Linked DNA regions of Pelodiscus sinensis. Each later gene encodes a partner of the first gene's protein in a complex. Links are inferred from orthologs where the notes say so. Each region holds a gene or a part of one and is shown on either strand. Other genes may lie near its edges.

The links. The genes of interacting proteins can lie anywhere in the genome.
Region 2: ARVCF (region 1) and PA2G4 share a complex: the UniProt entries of both Homo sapiens proteins name them as parts of the ribonucleoprotein complex. The link is inferred for Pelodiscus sinensis from reciprocal best matches to the Homo sapiens genes ARVCF and PA2G4.

Annotation. Positions count from the first base shown.
Region 1 is NC_134725.1:19,249,980-19,257,396, reverse strand, and holds the start of ARVCF (splicing regulator ARVCF), read left to right. Parts: upstream 1-4,327; 5' UTR 4,328-4,408; exon of another isoform or gene 4,409-4,816; 5' UTR 4,817-4,981; intron 4,982-5,424; exon of another isoform or gene 5,425-5,474; intron 5,475-7,417. UniProt on the Homo sapiens protein: Contributes to the regulation of alternative splicing of pre-mRNAs.
Region 2 is NC_134729.1:4,164,889-4,172,612, forward strand, and holds the start of PA2G4 (proliferation-associated protein 2G4), read right to left. Parts: upstream 3,204-7,724; 5' UTR 3,066-3,203; coding exon 2,978-3,065; intron 74-2,977; coding exon 1-73. UniProt on the Homo sapiens protein: May play a role in a ERBB3-regulated signal transduction pathway. Seems be involved in growth regulation. Acts a corepressor of the androgen receptor (AR) and is regulated by the ERBB3 ligand neuregulin-1/heregulin (HRG).

The DNA.
Region 1 (7,417 bases):
CCTTACTGGTTAAACTCACAGCCACTGCTGGCAGCCTGTGGGTCTGGCAGCTGCTGGGAAGTCGTGGGGCCAGTGGACACTGGGAACTTACAGGGCTGGCATGCACTGGGAGGCCTTGGTTCCAGCAGCCAATCTTGTGGGTCCAGTGGTGCCAGCAGCTCACAGGTCCAGCAGTGCCAGCAGCCTGCAGGTCCAGTAGCTGCTGGGAGCCTGTAGGGCTGGCAGTCACCAGGAACCTGCAGCACTTGCAGCCCACAGAACATTTAACCATGTAACCAATTTAATTTCAAACAGTTATATGGTAATTTTTTTAAAATTTTTACATCCCTACTAGAGATGTTGCAGCAAGAGTCCATAGGCTACTAGTAGTCTGTGGAGCACTTCCTTATTGTTTTTAGAGAAATGAATGATCATATGGTAGTACTGGGTGGTCCTGCATATTTCCAGATGATGCATTAAATTAAAAGAGCTAAAAGAATACCGTACATTTTCATAATTTTACAGTAACTAGCTATATGAAAAATTATGTCCACAGGGAATGTTATAGAATCATGAATCTGAGGGGAAATGTATTGCACAACTGTGATTTAGAGAAGTGTCCGTTTATGAGGCTTCTGCTGAGTAAGTCACTTGATATTAATGGTTTGGTTAGCTAGATCCTACAAGCATTTGAAACATCAGTCCTAATGAAGCTAAGGGAAACTCTATGCAGATTTCTATCACATTTCTATCACTATTCTACGCAGATGTCTTTCACAGAATGAGGTCCATTATTTATTACAAATTTTATCCATCGGTAAAGTTATAATTACACTGTTGTCTCTCACTGAGGTTTTATCAATAAGTCTGAGATTTTCAGAGCTGATTAGTGATTTGGGGTACCTCCATTTTGGACTGTCCAATTTGACAGGAGGAAAAAGCGTCCAATTTAGAAGGGGTGTCAGTTCGGGCACCCAAAATCTGAAAGCATAAAAAATCATGTCAGTTTGAAATTCTAGGTCTAAGGGATAAATTTGAAGAGATAGGACTAACTTATTTTGAAGCTATAAATTTTGAAGTGTAGGTATATTCCAGGGCTACGTCTACACTGGCCCCTTTTCCGGAAGGGGCATGTTAATTTCAGCTATCGTAGTAGGGAAATCTGCGGGGGATTTAAATATCCCCAGCGGCATTTAAATAAAAATGTCCGCCGCTTTTTTCCGGCGTTTAGAAAAGCCGGAAAAGAGCGTCTAGACTGGCCCCGATCCTCCGGAAAAAGCGCCCTTTTCCGGAGGCTCTTATTCCTACTTCAAAGTAGGAATAAGAGCCTCCGGAAAAGGGCGCTTTTTCCGGAGGATCGGGGCCAGTCTAGATGCTCTTTTCCGGCTTTTTTAAAAGCCGGAAAAAAGCGGCGGACATTTTTATTTAAATGCCGCTGGGGATATTTAAATCCCCCGCGGATTTCCCTACGACGACTCGTGAAATTTACATGCCCCTTCCGGAAAAGGGGCCAGTGTAGACGTAGCCCAGGTGTTTAGAAGCACATGTTCTTGTACTTTCATATATGGATGCAAATTTCCAACAAATGCAAATTAAAAAGCTCTGTTTCAACACTTCTGAAAAATTAGCTTGGGATAGAAACACTTGGGGAGAATAAGGAGATCTGGTTTTGATTTCTGACTGACAGAGATTCCTATTGGATTCGGGAAAGATATTCCACAAAATGCTTTTACTAATATGTACTGCCTTTCACACAGAGATCACATATTGAAAAAGGCAAAACTCATGGGCTGTGTCTAGACTGGCAAGATTTTCTGGAAAATCAGCCACTTTTCCGGAAAAACTTGCCATCTGTCTACACTGGCTGCTTGATTTTCCGCAAAAGCAATGATGATCTACTGTGCAAAATCAGCCGCTTTTCCGGAAAAGCTTTGCTGCTCCCGTTTGGGCAAAAGTCCTTTTTCCAAAAAAGTGTTGTGCAAAAGGGCCAGTGTAGACAGCTAGCTAAGGCTTTACCGAAAAAGCAGAATAAACGGAAAAAAGCGGTTTGGACACCTGGAGACCCCGTAGGAGCCCCGGTCTTCCTGGTAACCCGAGCTCTTAAAAGAACACGCAGGCTGCTGATCGCACGTGGCAGGAGTGTGCCTCAGACCTGCGACCTGAGGTCTGTCACGGCGCCCCTGCCCTGCCCAGCAGCCATCTGAGCCAGCCATGGCAGCTCCGGGTGCTGAGCCACCTGCACCCCCAGCGCAAGAGACCCCCAGGGGCCACAAAAGACGGGCTCCCTCCTGGACCCCCAGGGAGCTGGAGACCCTCCTTGACCTCTGGCAGGAGGAGGAGGGCCTCCACAATACCCGGTCCTGGCGCCGCAAAGCCAATATCTTCGGCCGAATGGCCGAGGCGCTGGCCCAGCGTGGACACCCTGCCCGGAACATTGACCAAGTCTGGGCGAAGGTCAAGGAGCTGCGGCTCGAGTACGTGTGGGCCAGCGAGGGTAGGGGGGCAGGACCAGACACCTGCTCCCACTATGACCGGCTGCACTCCATACTGGGCCAGCCAGCCCCGCAAGGCCCACATGTGCAGGTGGACACCTGCCAGCGCCCCCCCGTCATCCGAATCACCGAGGCGGGGGAAGAAGAGGAAAGCAGCGCTTCGGGGGAGGAGACCAGCGTTGCCACCCAGCAGGACCCATCCAGCAGCTCCTCTGAGGCCGGGGAAGGATCCACCGGTGGGTCTTTGCAGTTCGCACTCACAAGGGCGGAGGGCGGGGGGGGGGGGAGCCAGGCGTCTGGAGGAGGGAGGGGCAGAGCATGTCACTCAGGCCACTTGAGTTGCATGCTGTGTAGCATTAGGCAGCAAGCAGCACGTGCAACCACGTGCAGCCTGGTGACGGAGCGGCACGTGACCGTGGCAGGCAGCTGCAGGACACGCCTGGGACCCTGCTGCTCACACACATTCAGCGGGACCAGGGGGAAGGGTGGATGCCAGCTGGAACTGGCCAGGGCCCCAGGGACTCAACCCAGAGCCCGAACCTCTGCAAGGGTCCAGAACGGAGAACGGCACACTGTCCCATGCCTGGCTGTGAGGCACAGCCAGCTGCTCTTGGGTAAATCGCAGCATCACAGCCCTGTGACTGTGGCCCCCACTGAGCCCCTCGCCTGCTCCCGGTGCCTTGGCTGGCTCCCCAAGGTAAATCCCCACTGTGGCCACACATGTCCCTGGGCTACGGGGGTTGTGTGAGGGATAGTGGGAGGGAGAAAGGGGGGAAGCGCTCGGCCACCCTTAGGGCCACCCTGAGTTTTGCTGCAAGGATGGGACATCCCCCCCCCAGTCACTCTTCTGGTTCCGTTCAGGAGATATCCCACACGATGGGGATCTGAGAGTCCAGACCACCTCTGCCAGATGTGCTCCCAGGCATTGTGTGGGGATGCATCTCACTCCCTGTCAAACATCAGTGATTAGCCCAAAGCTTCACAGTCTCCACCGGCAGGGAGTTCCACAGGTTAACACAACACACGCGCCCTTCCGCCCTCCACAGGGCCAGGACACAGACCGGTGGTTACAATATATGGAGGAGGACCCTACTCCAGTGGCAGTCCTCCTTGCAAACATACAACACGGGGGGAAGCGGGTGAACCGCGTGGGCCCAAGCCACACAACTGTGGGATCACCTGGGCTCAGGGGTGGAGGGCATGAGGTGTGGGGACAGTGGCCGGCCTGCCTGTCTGACCCATCCTTTCTTCTCTTCCCTGCAGCGGGACCAAGCACAAGCCAGGGACCCTCCAGTCTGACAGCAGCGGCACCCCCAGCTGCCCACCAGTGCCATGTAAAACCACTTGCCTTGCACAACTAATCCTGTATCTTGGTACTCAAATCTTCCACTGAAATCAGTACAGATTGGAGATATCTGAATGCAAGAGCAGGCTCCCATTTGTTTTGCAGTTTGGACTTCTGGGCTAAAAGTGCTTGCTATCCAGATTTCCTGTTTCTTTCACAGTTTATTATATGTGTTTTAGAATGTGCAAAGTGTAAATCTGTGATGCTTCAGAAGGATTATTAATTATATGTTTTGTTTTGATTTTTTGTTAATCATCATAGTATTTCAAGCGATTAAACAAATTAAAAGCATTCAATCATAATGTATTCCCAAACGGAATGGGACTAGGGAACTTTTTTCATTCCTAGAAGGGAGGTTAATTCCACTCTGACGGACACTTATGCTGTCCAATGCCAAACTTCGCTGTCAGCCAGCCGACAGACTTGAGGAACTTCACCAATGAGATGGTCGTTGCTGGGTTTAATAAAACAAAGATGCCCAATAGGAAAAATCATGGCCAGTGAGAAGTGCGTCGTTTTGTTTGCTGACTGCAGACGGACAGCTGCGAACGAGGGGGCACAGAGCAGCAGCAGCAGCAGGACCGTTTTTTAGGTTTGGAGCACAATTCAGCTCTTTTCCACCCTTCCCCCTCCTGCCCCTCTCACAGACACACTAGCCAGCCATGCTGTCCTTAGAGGACGGAGGGGAAACCTGAATTCCTATTTCCATCACTCAGCATTTTTACCGCCCCCTCCCTAATTTTACTGACGGGAAGGGATTAACACCCCCACTCTATAAAACAGTTGGAGGGATGAATACATTGCAGCACACGTTAACTTACAAAACCAACTGAATCTCTGGTGGACATCTTACAGAGAGTCTTTTTGAAAGGGCGTTGAGAAATTAAGCATTATTCAAACTTTATAGGTGACTATTTAAACGTAATTCTTAAGGGGAAGTGTACAAAAACCTCTTTAAAGAGACATTATTTCTTAGTTTCTTTTTTTGGGATGGGGGTAGAGTTTTGAAGAGGACTATTAAGCAAGGTTGTTTCTCTGTGAGATATGAAGAGCGCCAGACCCTGGATGTGGGAGTGGACGACCATATAGGAAGATCACGGCAGCAAGTTTGTTTTTTTTAAAAGAAGGAATCCTAAGTGTTTTTAAAAGAAAAGCAACAAAAAAGGTAAATGTAAAACAAGAGTTAAAGGCTCCTTCCATTCTTCCCCTTTGGATAAAGATGTTTTAGATGCCCTTTGCAAATGAAGAGGGAAGAAGGAAGGGGGTGGATTAAGTCTGAGTGTGATGCATCTACTATGTTGCCTTGGAGGATAAGAAGGGAATTTAATCTGTATCCGACGTACTCATTGTGATCTCTGGAGAGGAATTTTTGAGTTGGGAGGTGGAAAGAAATGCAACCTGAATCGAATGCACCTACACCGTTTTTTCTGGGGTCGGGGAATGAATGGGTAGCAGGCAGTGGGCATCTAGAGGTGTTTTTTGCTTCTGGAAAATGGAAAGGGAGAGAGGAAGAGGTCTGATTGCTCTACTGCCGATCAATTGCTGAGTGTTTTATTTAAGAGGGTTTGTTTGTTTTTTGGTACACCGCTTCCTGGTGATCCCGTGAAGCTAGAAGAGGCAAAGAAAATAAGCTGAGGACAGATATAGAAGACGACATGGTGAGCTGATCATTAGGGGAGAAGGGACTGGACTATTTTGTAAAGCAGATCTTGGAGATTAAGTGAATTTAGAATGACTTTGCATCACGGTTGCAGAGTAGCTTTGTTTGCTTAAGGCTGCAGTTGAGGCTTGAAGTGATATGTATTTTTTTGTCCTGTGATGTGTGGTGGGGGACCTGACCTACGTTAATGGCTAAAATTACAAATAGCCACCACACACACATGCATACCGTAAATAAACCAACACTGCGTGTGTTAATTCTGTAAAACGATGGGCAGTTCTTGTGGAGGGAAGTCGTTGCTCAGGTTATTTGTGGCGTGCATAGAGATGAGACCCCTGCTTTGTAGCAAAGAGCACGCAGAACTAACCTTTGTAGTTTAAATTGTAAAAAGATTAAATCCTCTTTCAATCTTATCATCCCAAGGAAGTACTTTTAGTATGCATTTTTCTCTGCTGCATTACTTTACATGGTTATAAACTAATATTTCCAAAACTTGAGCAACTCTTTAAAATGTTCAGATCAAGCATATAATGGCAGAGCCCCTCTCTTTCTATATAGTAGTAGATGGATTCGTCTAAAATATTTTTCAGTTTTTATAATGTACTCTCTTGTGCCTAGTTTTGGTGAACTCCAGTTTTTGTTCTTAGCAGGTTCAATTTTTTTTTGCAAATCTTGTAATTTCATATTCCAATTATATTAATCTTATTAAACATTGACTGTGTGACAGCCTTGAATTGGTGGATAAATATTTTTCCTTAGAGAGGATTTTTATGGTTAAATGTGGCAAAATATGGACAGTGGCTGATTGTATCTTCCTCTGGTTACAATGCTGCAATCTGTACCTATCTCATCTTCTAGATTTAAAGCTGTACCTTACAAACTGCAGAAATTCTGTATTGTCAGGAATGGATCCTGACATTGTACTGTCCCTAAAAATGTTAGAAGAAACTAGAATAAGGAAAAATGCAGTTTCATGTTGAGTCTGCTTTGGAACAAATTAGGATTGTTATATTAAACTAGCACTGCATATGCATGCTGTCTGAAGGAATTGGAATACTAATAATAATTCATAGTTTATACAAGAAAACAACTTGTGAGCTATATTATGATCGCAGTAATGCAAGATATTTAGATGGATGTTTGTTATATTTATTTTAAGCAACATCTCTGTAAATGGTTGTCTGAAATATTTAAATTATATGCCCCATTAGGCAAATGGGTTCTCCCCTCCCTCTCCCCCCAGCCTGGCTAGAGGAATGTGTTTGGTGGGCATGGTTTAGAGGAACAATACAGTTTGACTGTTAGTTATGTCCCCATGTTTTGTCTAATGATGCTTAGGCTTTGCTTTATTAGACATTAGTTGTTATCCATGCAAAGTTGTCTTTGCTGATTTGCTATTATTATTACATGGTTTCTCTGAACATAAATAACTTAAAGCAGTGGATTTAACCATAGATTTTACCTAATATTATTTAGAAATAACTGATGAAAAACTGTTTCCCATTGCTTGTTGTTTTCCTCTGTTCCTTCAAAATCCCTCCAGTGGAATTTGATTTCAGTAATTATTATTGGAAGAACCAATACATTAGCAAAATGCAGTTATTTACAGGATATACAGTTTGTAAGTAGTGCATTGGGAGAGAGTAGAATACTTCCTTTTAGTTGTACTTTATATTTTGTACAGTCTATAATGAAGACTGACATTTTAACCTACAAGTTCATGTGCATAAATATTACGTTGTATAGATTTAAGCATCTATGTCATATTTTATGTAATGCAATAAACACTATTTCTGCATTTCTGGTAGATTTAAATTTGCATCTGAAGCTATATACTATCAGAAAACATGCCAGAACTGTTATAGTACTACATTTATAATTTGCTGCTTTTAATATTTTATTGTGTGGATATAAATCATTGACACAAATGCTGTAAACAAA
Region 2 (7,724 bases), on another chromosome or scaffold:
GCATCCCCCTTCTCACACAGGCTGAGAACAGAGCCTCCAGATTTAGTTGCTTCAACCACTGCACGCAGGACCCCTGGGTTCAAACACATAGCGTTGATGAATTGGAAATGGATGTGTTAATTAAAAAACAACCAATAGCTTTGAAAGAGCCCCTTCATACATGACAAAACTGCAGTAGGAAGGTGTTTTAATTAAATTAGGGTGAAAAGTTGAACCACCAAGCAAGTACATCAAATGTGCACACATCAGACTTTTTTAAAATAAAACTGGCATCCATTGGCTGTCCTGACTCAAGAAATCCAGCAAGCACTACCTTCCTGTGATTGCAAGCACCTGGGAACAAGCACACCGACTAGGCCCATGAAGTGTTGAACTGTAGGTGTCCTTGAAATCTCAAACACCTGTCCACTTCCACCTACACAGACAGCAGGGTCTGTTTACTAGAGAGTCAAGTGGAAGCAGCACTGTTCTCCCACATTCCTTCCCTTCAGAAGCCAGGGCTACAGAAAGAGGTTCAAAATTGATCCAGGAGACTCTGTGTGTCATATATCAGAGGAACAAGGGCTGCTATTGTGGGTTTCAAGGACTATTAAATATAATTTCTCATTGAGACAGGTCACTTGGCATCAGAGCTGGCAACAGTACAGCTAAGCTACCTACCTATGCGAGTCTTACACTTTGCAGCCACTTTTCGCTTGCAGTTGCACATAAAAGCATTTCAGAACTAATGTTTGGCTTCCCTTCATTCTTCCTTACACATCTACACCTTGTGCCGCATCAGGCATTACAGAACATTCTATTCTCTAGTCACAATATGATGCACGGATCTGGTTTGGAGGTATTAAAGTTTTGTTGCTTTTAGAGAGCTTTAAAGGGCTGTGTCAGGATGTTGAGATTCCATTGCAGAATACAAGGTACGTTTCTATTTTATAAATAGTTAGAAAATATTTGATGCATGGGGCTGTTGTTGAAGTATTCCAGCATCACATCTGTGCACAAAACTTGACTGCCTCACAAAAGCGCCAGGGAAGTTCCCAGGATTATTTGAGGGAGAACAAGCGCAGGTTTGCACTTTAGTCAACAGTCAGCAGGTACAGGCACTGGGAGGCACAGCTTTCCAGATCTACAAAAAGTCTCAAGAGGGGCGTGTTAGCCTGTAATTAAAAAAAGACTTAAAAACAACAATGGTCCTGTAGCATCACTTAACCTCTGGGCTTTATTTCCCCCTCTTCTAACAAAGGGGGATAATTCTTATCTATTTCATACAGGAATTGTGAAGCTTACAATTTTGTAAAGTGTGTTTAGATCCCTAGATAAAAGGCATTTGCTCAAAAAATCTCTCCCCCATGTAGGAGAAATTGGGCTAAAGAGCCTACCTAATGAATTAAGTTAAAAAAATCACCCTATTTCCCCATACAATCACCTTTCCATGCACTACATAAACTGTGAATTTAGAAGTGGGTTTTTAAAGTTATCTACAAACCATCACAAACCCAGAGTTTGCATATGCCATCATGCGAATGGGCAGCTTGAAAATGTGAAGTGTTAAAATTCACACAGGAGTAAAACAAGCAGCAATCAATATCCATTAGGGAATGGGAAAGTTACAAACCAGTTTAATAGCACTGGGCAAAGAATATCTATTAACTGTACTTTGTACTTACACAGTCCCTCATTCCATGAATTAAAAGCACTTTACATCATTAAATACATGTACTACACTGTCAAGAAATCAAGAGATTTTTAGCACCCCCAGGAAAATTTAAAACCTTGCCACTCTTTTGGATTTAGAATATTTTACACCTATGACATACAGAAAAATACTGATGCATCTGACGAAGTGGGCTCCAGCCCATGAAAGCTTAACCCCAAATAAATGTGTTCGTCTTTAGGTGTCACAGGACCCCTCACTGATTTTACAGAAAAATACTCTGATCATTTTTTACTTTCCCATGAGGCATATCCCCTACACACCATTAAAACTGCAGGACTCTTAGTCTGTATCTCAGTGCTTGTAAGCATCCCAACAGGACAGAGTTTACACCTGACTGGTGAGAACCCTGTTTGCAGGCCCCCTTGCCCAATCTACTAAAAATGAGCCCTCTCCCCATGCCATGAGAGCTTCAGGTTGACCCTGTTTTCAGAAGGGTTATTAAATACACTCATTACTCCTGGCCTCCATGAAATGCCAGTGGCACCCCAAGAGAAGTCCAGGGCGATTTTTAACCAGCTGTCACTTTCCTGGAGTTACTAGTTGCCACCATTAATGATAAAGCAAAAATATCAGAAGGAAGAGGCAGAAGCGGATTTAAAAACACAAACTGATTTCGCTGCGCCTTGGGGGCCCCGGCTCGGGCCGACTCTCCCCAGACAGGCTCCGCTGACTGCGGGGCCACAGGCAGGGCCCCCCCCCCCAGGGCCCCCGCTGCCTCCCAGCCCGCCCCGGCCGAGGGGGCAGGAGCGAGAGCAGCGAACAAAAGGTAAAGCCCATGTGGGAGGAAGCTGGCGGCGTGCGGGAGCCGCACATGGCAAAGGCGCCGCCGGGCCATGTGGCTGCACCGCCGGGCCGGGGCACGGCGCCTGGCGGCTCCGGGGGGGGGGCTACACCCCCCCACGCACCCACACGGGCCTGGGGGGGGAGTAGATCCCCCTGGGCACCCCGCTCTGCTGGGGGGGGGATGTGCCCGGGGTGCCCAGGCGCTGGAGAAGGTCTCGGTCCTGCTGGGGGGGGGGGGGGGGCTTTGCCAGTGGGGACCCCCCCGGGCACCGTGGGGGAGGGGGGAGGGGACGGGAGAGAAGCTCAGGCCACCCCCAGAGGGGTGCCCCCCCCTCCACGCCCCCTACCCGAGGGGACCAGCGCTGCCCAGATCCCGCCCTAGACCCCCAGGCCCGAGCCAGCCCCCCCCCCCCAGGCCCCGCCTCGGCCCCCCCTCAGGCCCCGCCTCGGCCCCCCCCTCAGGCCCCCCCCCGCACTCACGGTTGGCGATGTCGCCCCCCATCTTGTACTTGGTCACCACCAGGTCCTCGGCGATGGTCAGCTCGGCCGCCTCCTCCTCGCCCGACATGGTGGCGCCGCCCGGCCCGGCCTGGCCTCGCCCCGCGCTGGAACCGCCGCCGAGTGAGGAGAGACCCGGCCGGAGCGAGCGAGCCGCAGAGAGCGCGGGCTCCGCGCGGGGCACGCTGGGCAGGCGAGTCCCCGCCCCGCTCCGCCGCCGGACTACGACTCCCGGCAGGCGCCGCGCGGAGGCCGCCCCGCCGCATGGAGGACCACAGCTCCCGGCATACGGCGCGCCCGGGAGCTCTCGCGAGAGCTGGGGCCGAGGGGCGCTTCCCGCGATGGCGGGCGGGAGGGGCGGGGCGCAGTGCACACTGGGAATTGTAGGCTGGGGGGGTGGACTTACTCAACTTCCAAGGGGGTTTGAACTACAAGTCGCAGGGAGCTGAGGAGCCCTAGGCAGTGGGGGGGGCTCGGTGGGGAGGGATACAAGGGACACCCCCCCAAGGGGGAGAGGACTATAGTGGGGGGTACCCACGTGGGAGGGGAGTACCCTGGGGGCACCCCCTAAGGAGCTGGGGGAACCCAGGGTGCTTGCTATGGGGAGGGGTCTCACCCAGGTTACCCCCAACTAAGGTCTGGAGCTGCAGCAAAGGCAGGCAAGGAAGGGGAAAGAAACTCCCTCCTCCGAGTGCCCCTTGGCATAAGTGTTCCCACCCCAAGGCGGAATGAATTTTGTGATGTGCACAGGTGTGGCAGTGGCGTGCGACATATCACTGTCATCCTGGTGCACATCACTAAATTCACGTAGCCGGGTGTGGGGCTCAGAGCTGAGGCAGAGGGCTGGGGTGCAGAGTGTGAGGGCTCTGGGGAATAATGGAGGCACCAGGTTTGGGGAGGGGCTCAGGGGCAGGGTTGGGCTGTAGGAGGGGGTACAGGCTCAGGGCCGGGGATGTGAGCTTTGGGGGTGAGGCCAGGGATGAAGTCCTTGGTGTGCAGTAGGATGCTCAGAGCGAGGGGCTCAAAGTGGGGTAGGGAGTTGGGGCTGGAGCTTACCAGGGCAGCAAGGATAGGCCCCTTTCCCTTGGCCATAGCAGCTCCATGCTGGGGCCGGTGAGGAGGGGCTCCCCTCTACTGGTCATGGCAGTTTCGAGGCTTGGTGAGAAGTATTGCTTCCCACTGCAGTCCTTGGTTCCTGTCCCACTTAATGGCAAGTTGCTCAGCTTAGTGGGGAAACTTAGTCCTGGAGCTATCTCTCCCAAGCTACCCATCCTGGCCCCACCCATCCCTCATGCCAGCCCATCTCCCCTCCCAGAGCCAGGCCAGCACAGATGTATCCAGGCACGTGTTCATCAGCTTCATTTTTATTTTGTTTTTTTAAAAAAATTAAAACTCCAATAACGGGAAGCATAGACAACTGAAAGATGGCATGAACAAGGGCTTTCCACACAGAGGTTTATTATGGGCCCAGCCAAACCCAGTGTCCCAGGCCTGAGAATCCAACATGTGAGAGGAAAGCACCAATTCCCACCCACCTGTGGCACCAATCTGGCTGTGAGATGCACTTGGAGAAGCCCTTCTTCTGCCGACACTCACAATTTCAGTGTGAGTTTTTTGTGTTTTCAGTAAAGTATGGTTCTAGTCTTTGTGGCTGCACAGAAAAGCTTCAGAGTATGAGCTCGTGTGTGACCTAAAGGCTCAGAAACCAGAAAGCAAATAAAAAAATACCACAACCAAACTCATTTTAAAAAAACACAACAGAATTTGACAGCTGAATAATGATTTTTGAGCCCTTGAGATCAGTACTGCTGCCTACAGAGCCCTTCTTGACCTTAGAACATTTGTTTGCATCATTGCAGAAGATAGCACACAACTTACAGATTCTTTATTTCACCAATGCTGTATTCACTAGGGTCGTGGTAGATAGTTACCTGGAGGTTTGTCTGTATTTGGTATCCCTTGCTCATATCAGAGCAAGTTTGTTGGCACGGCCCTCTTTGTTAATAAATGCAGCCCCAGTTGCTACAAATGAATCAAACTATATGCGTCTCCTTCCAAGACCAGAGCTTAAATATGCAATAGAGGTATATTTCCTTCTGATCGGCATATTCCCTGCAAACCTTGGGACTTTGTCTCAATTTGAGTCACTTCGCAGGCTGTTATTCCTGTGAGTGTCTGATTCTCTTTAAAACTGAAACACTAAAGCTATTTCATCCTGCAACGGAGAGTCCCACAGGTAAAAGTGTAAAGCTCAGAGATTTCTTTTCACCTTCATTTCACCAGTTCTGACACACAGCAAACAAGGACAGGAATACAAAAATAAATACTCCCTGCTTTCCAACAACATTAACCTTTACACTTTGAAAACATACAAGGAGGGGGCTTTTCTGGACAGTCCAGACAAGTCTACTGGAGGCATTGCACGTGTCTTTAAAAGGACTAAATAGCATATTGGATTGGCTCATTTTGAACCTGATTTTCCCTTGCACCCATTTCAAGCTGCCAAGTTTGCATGCCCTTTGCACAGGTGTAAACACCTCGAAGAGAAATTGGACCCAGTGACTTCACTAGAATGAGTCTGTCTGGAAGCAAAACCAGCATCTGCCCCTTTGAATTTAGTAGGAAGATGCAGGCCTGGAGCTACTGCCCCATGCTCCGGTCTGCTGGGTGGCTTTTGGTTTGTTCTTTAGTTCTTTCTCCTTTGGAGAAGCTGGGAAGAAAACACAGCAAACCTCTCACCCTGTCACGCTATTGACTGTTCCCATTTTAGAACCCAGAGGTCGGGGCTCCTGCCTTTGAAACAAACAAGCACAGAACAGGTGGGGAAGCCTCCGGCTTGGGCTTGCTTCTACTTTTCAGTCCTCCCTTCCCAGCCCTGCACTCTACCCCATGGCCGGAGTGAATAGGTTTTTCTGCAGCGTTAGTGTCACTTGCCAGCAGAGGGCAGAAGTGGCAGCTTTTAGAGCACGTGTTTGGTCCTGGGCTTGGCCCCGGCCAGCACCGCTTCCTTAGCCCAGACCTGCAGGGTTGTGGATTAGGACTGAGACTCACGCACTTCGCCCCCTGCTTGTAAGGGGAGATCAGGAGACTGTGCTTCCCCACGGCTCTAGCAGAGGGGAGATGGGCTCACTGGATGCCCCCGAAGCGGCCATGCTGCGCCCCGATCTCTCAGGACAATGGGTTAGCTCCTCCGGCTGCAGCAGGGAAGGGATGTGCCAGGGTGGAGCCCGGGAAAACCTACTCCACACTCCCTTCTGCAGGTCCTTGCAGGTCTCCGCCTTAGTCAGACATTGCTAATATCACCCATTCCTCCCGCCCATCGTGTGGCTGAGCCAGGGTGGAAGCAGTGAGGAAATGCACCTGCCCATTTGCACAACTCAGAGCAGAGGGCGACAGCCTGGTCTAATGGCTAGATGCCCCCTTTTTTCTGGCGCTAGGAGCAGAACCAGGAATCCTGACTCTTGTGAGCTCCGCTCTAACTCATAGGTAATGCTCCCCTCCCAAAGATTAAGAACATAAGAACAGCCATACTAGGTCAGACCAAAGGTCCATCTAGCCCAGTATCTGGTCTGCTGCCAGTGGCCAATATCAGATGCCCCAGAGGGAGGGAACACAACAGGTGATCCTCACATGATCTCTCTTTTGCCATCCATTTCCAGACAAACAGAGGCTAGGGACACCATTCCTACCCATCCTGGCTAATAGCCAATGATGGGCCTAACATCCATGAATCTATCTAGCTCTTTTTTGAACCCTGTTAAAGTCCTAGTCTTCACAACATCCTCTGGCAAGGAGTTCCACAGGTTGACTGTTCGCTGAGTGAAGAAAAACTTCCTGTTGTTTGTTTTAAACCTGCTGTCTATTAATTTCATTTGGTGACTCCTAGTTCTTATGTTGTGGGAATAAGTAAATAATTTTTCCTCATTCACTTTTTCCACACCAGTCATGATTGTATAGACCTCTATCCTATCCCTCCTTGATCTTTTCTTTCATCGACTTCCACCACTTTATCCAAGGAGGTCCAAGCTTAGGTAAAGTTCACTGCCATCCATGGCTTCATGTGGAAATAATTCAGAGCCTTGCTCTGAGGGCAGGAGACACATACTCTACTTCCTGCAGAGGAGAGAAACAATTCAGAGCCCTTGGGCACACCCAGACCAGGACAGAAACTGGACACAACCACCCGACAGAGAGCGCCGGCCCCTGTGTCTAGCGCAGAAAGCCTTTGTCAGAGGAAAGTCCTCCCAGTGCATGAGCCAAACCCGCTGCCCAGTGAGCGTGGCCAGCCTGCTGGAGCCCAGGGCAGGAACACAGCCCGTGAACCAGGCCCCCTTGTTCCAGCGTTGCACGTGACGTGAAACACACCACGAGGTTCAGTGCAAAAATATCAACTTCAGTTCTTCACCGCAGGCTAGGGGTGTTCTCCCTGTGCCCCGTTGGCAACTAGCACCCCACAGCTCTCATCAGGCTCAGGTGCTGGGGCATGAGAGGAGGGGAGGCTCTGGCCACCCTGTTTACACTGGTGTGAATCCAGTGTGACTCAGGAGGATGCAAGATCAAATTCCAGTCCACTGGCTTCTTACACCAGTGGAAATCTGGTGAAACTTGCACAGAACCTGATGCGCCAACACCTTCTGACCTGCCGCGGCCTCCAAGCTCAGCGGCACCAAGAGAGGGGCAGCAGCCATGAGAAACCCCTGGCTGGGGCTGGTGTGTGTGTGGAGAGCTA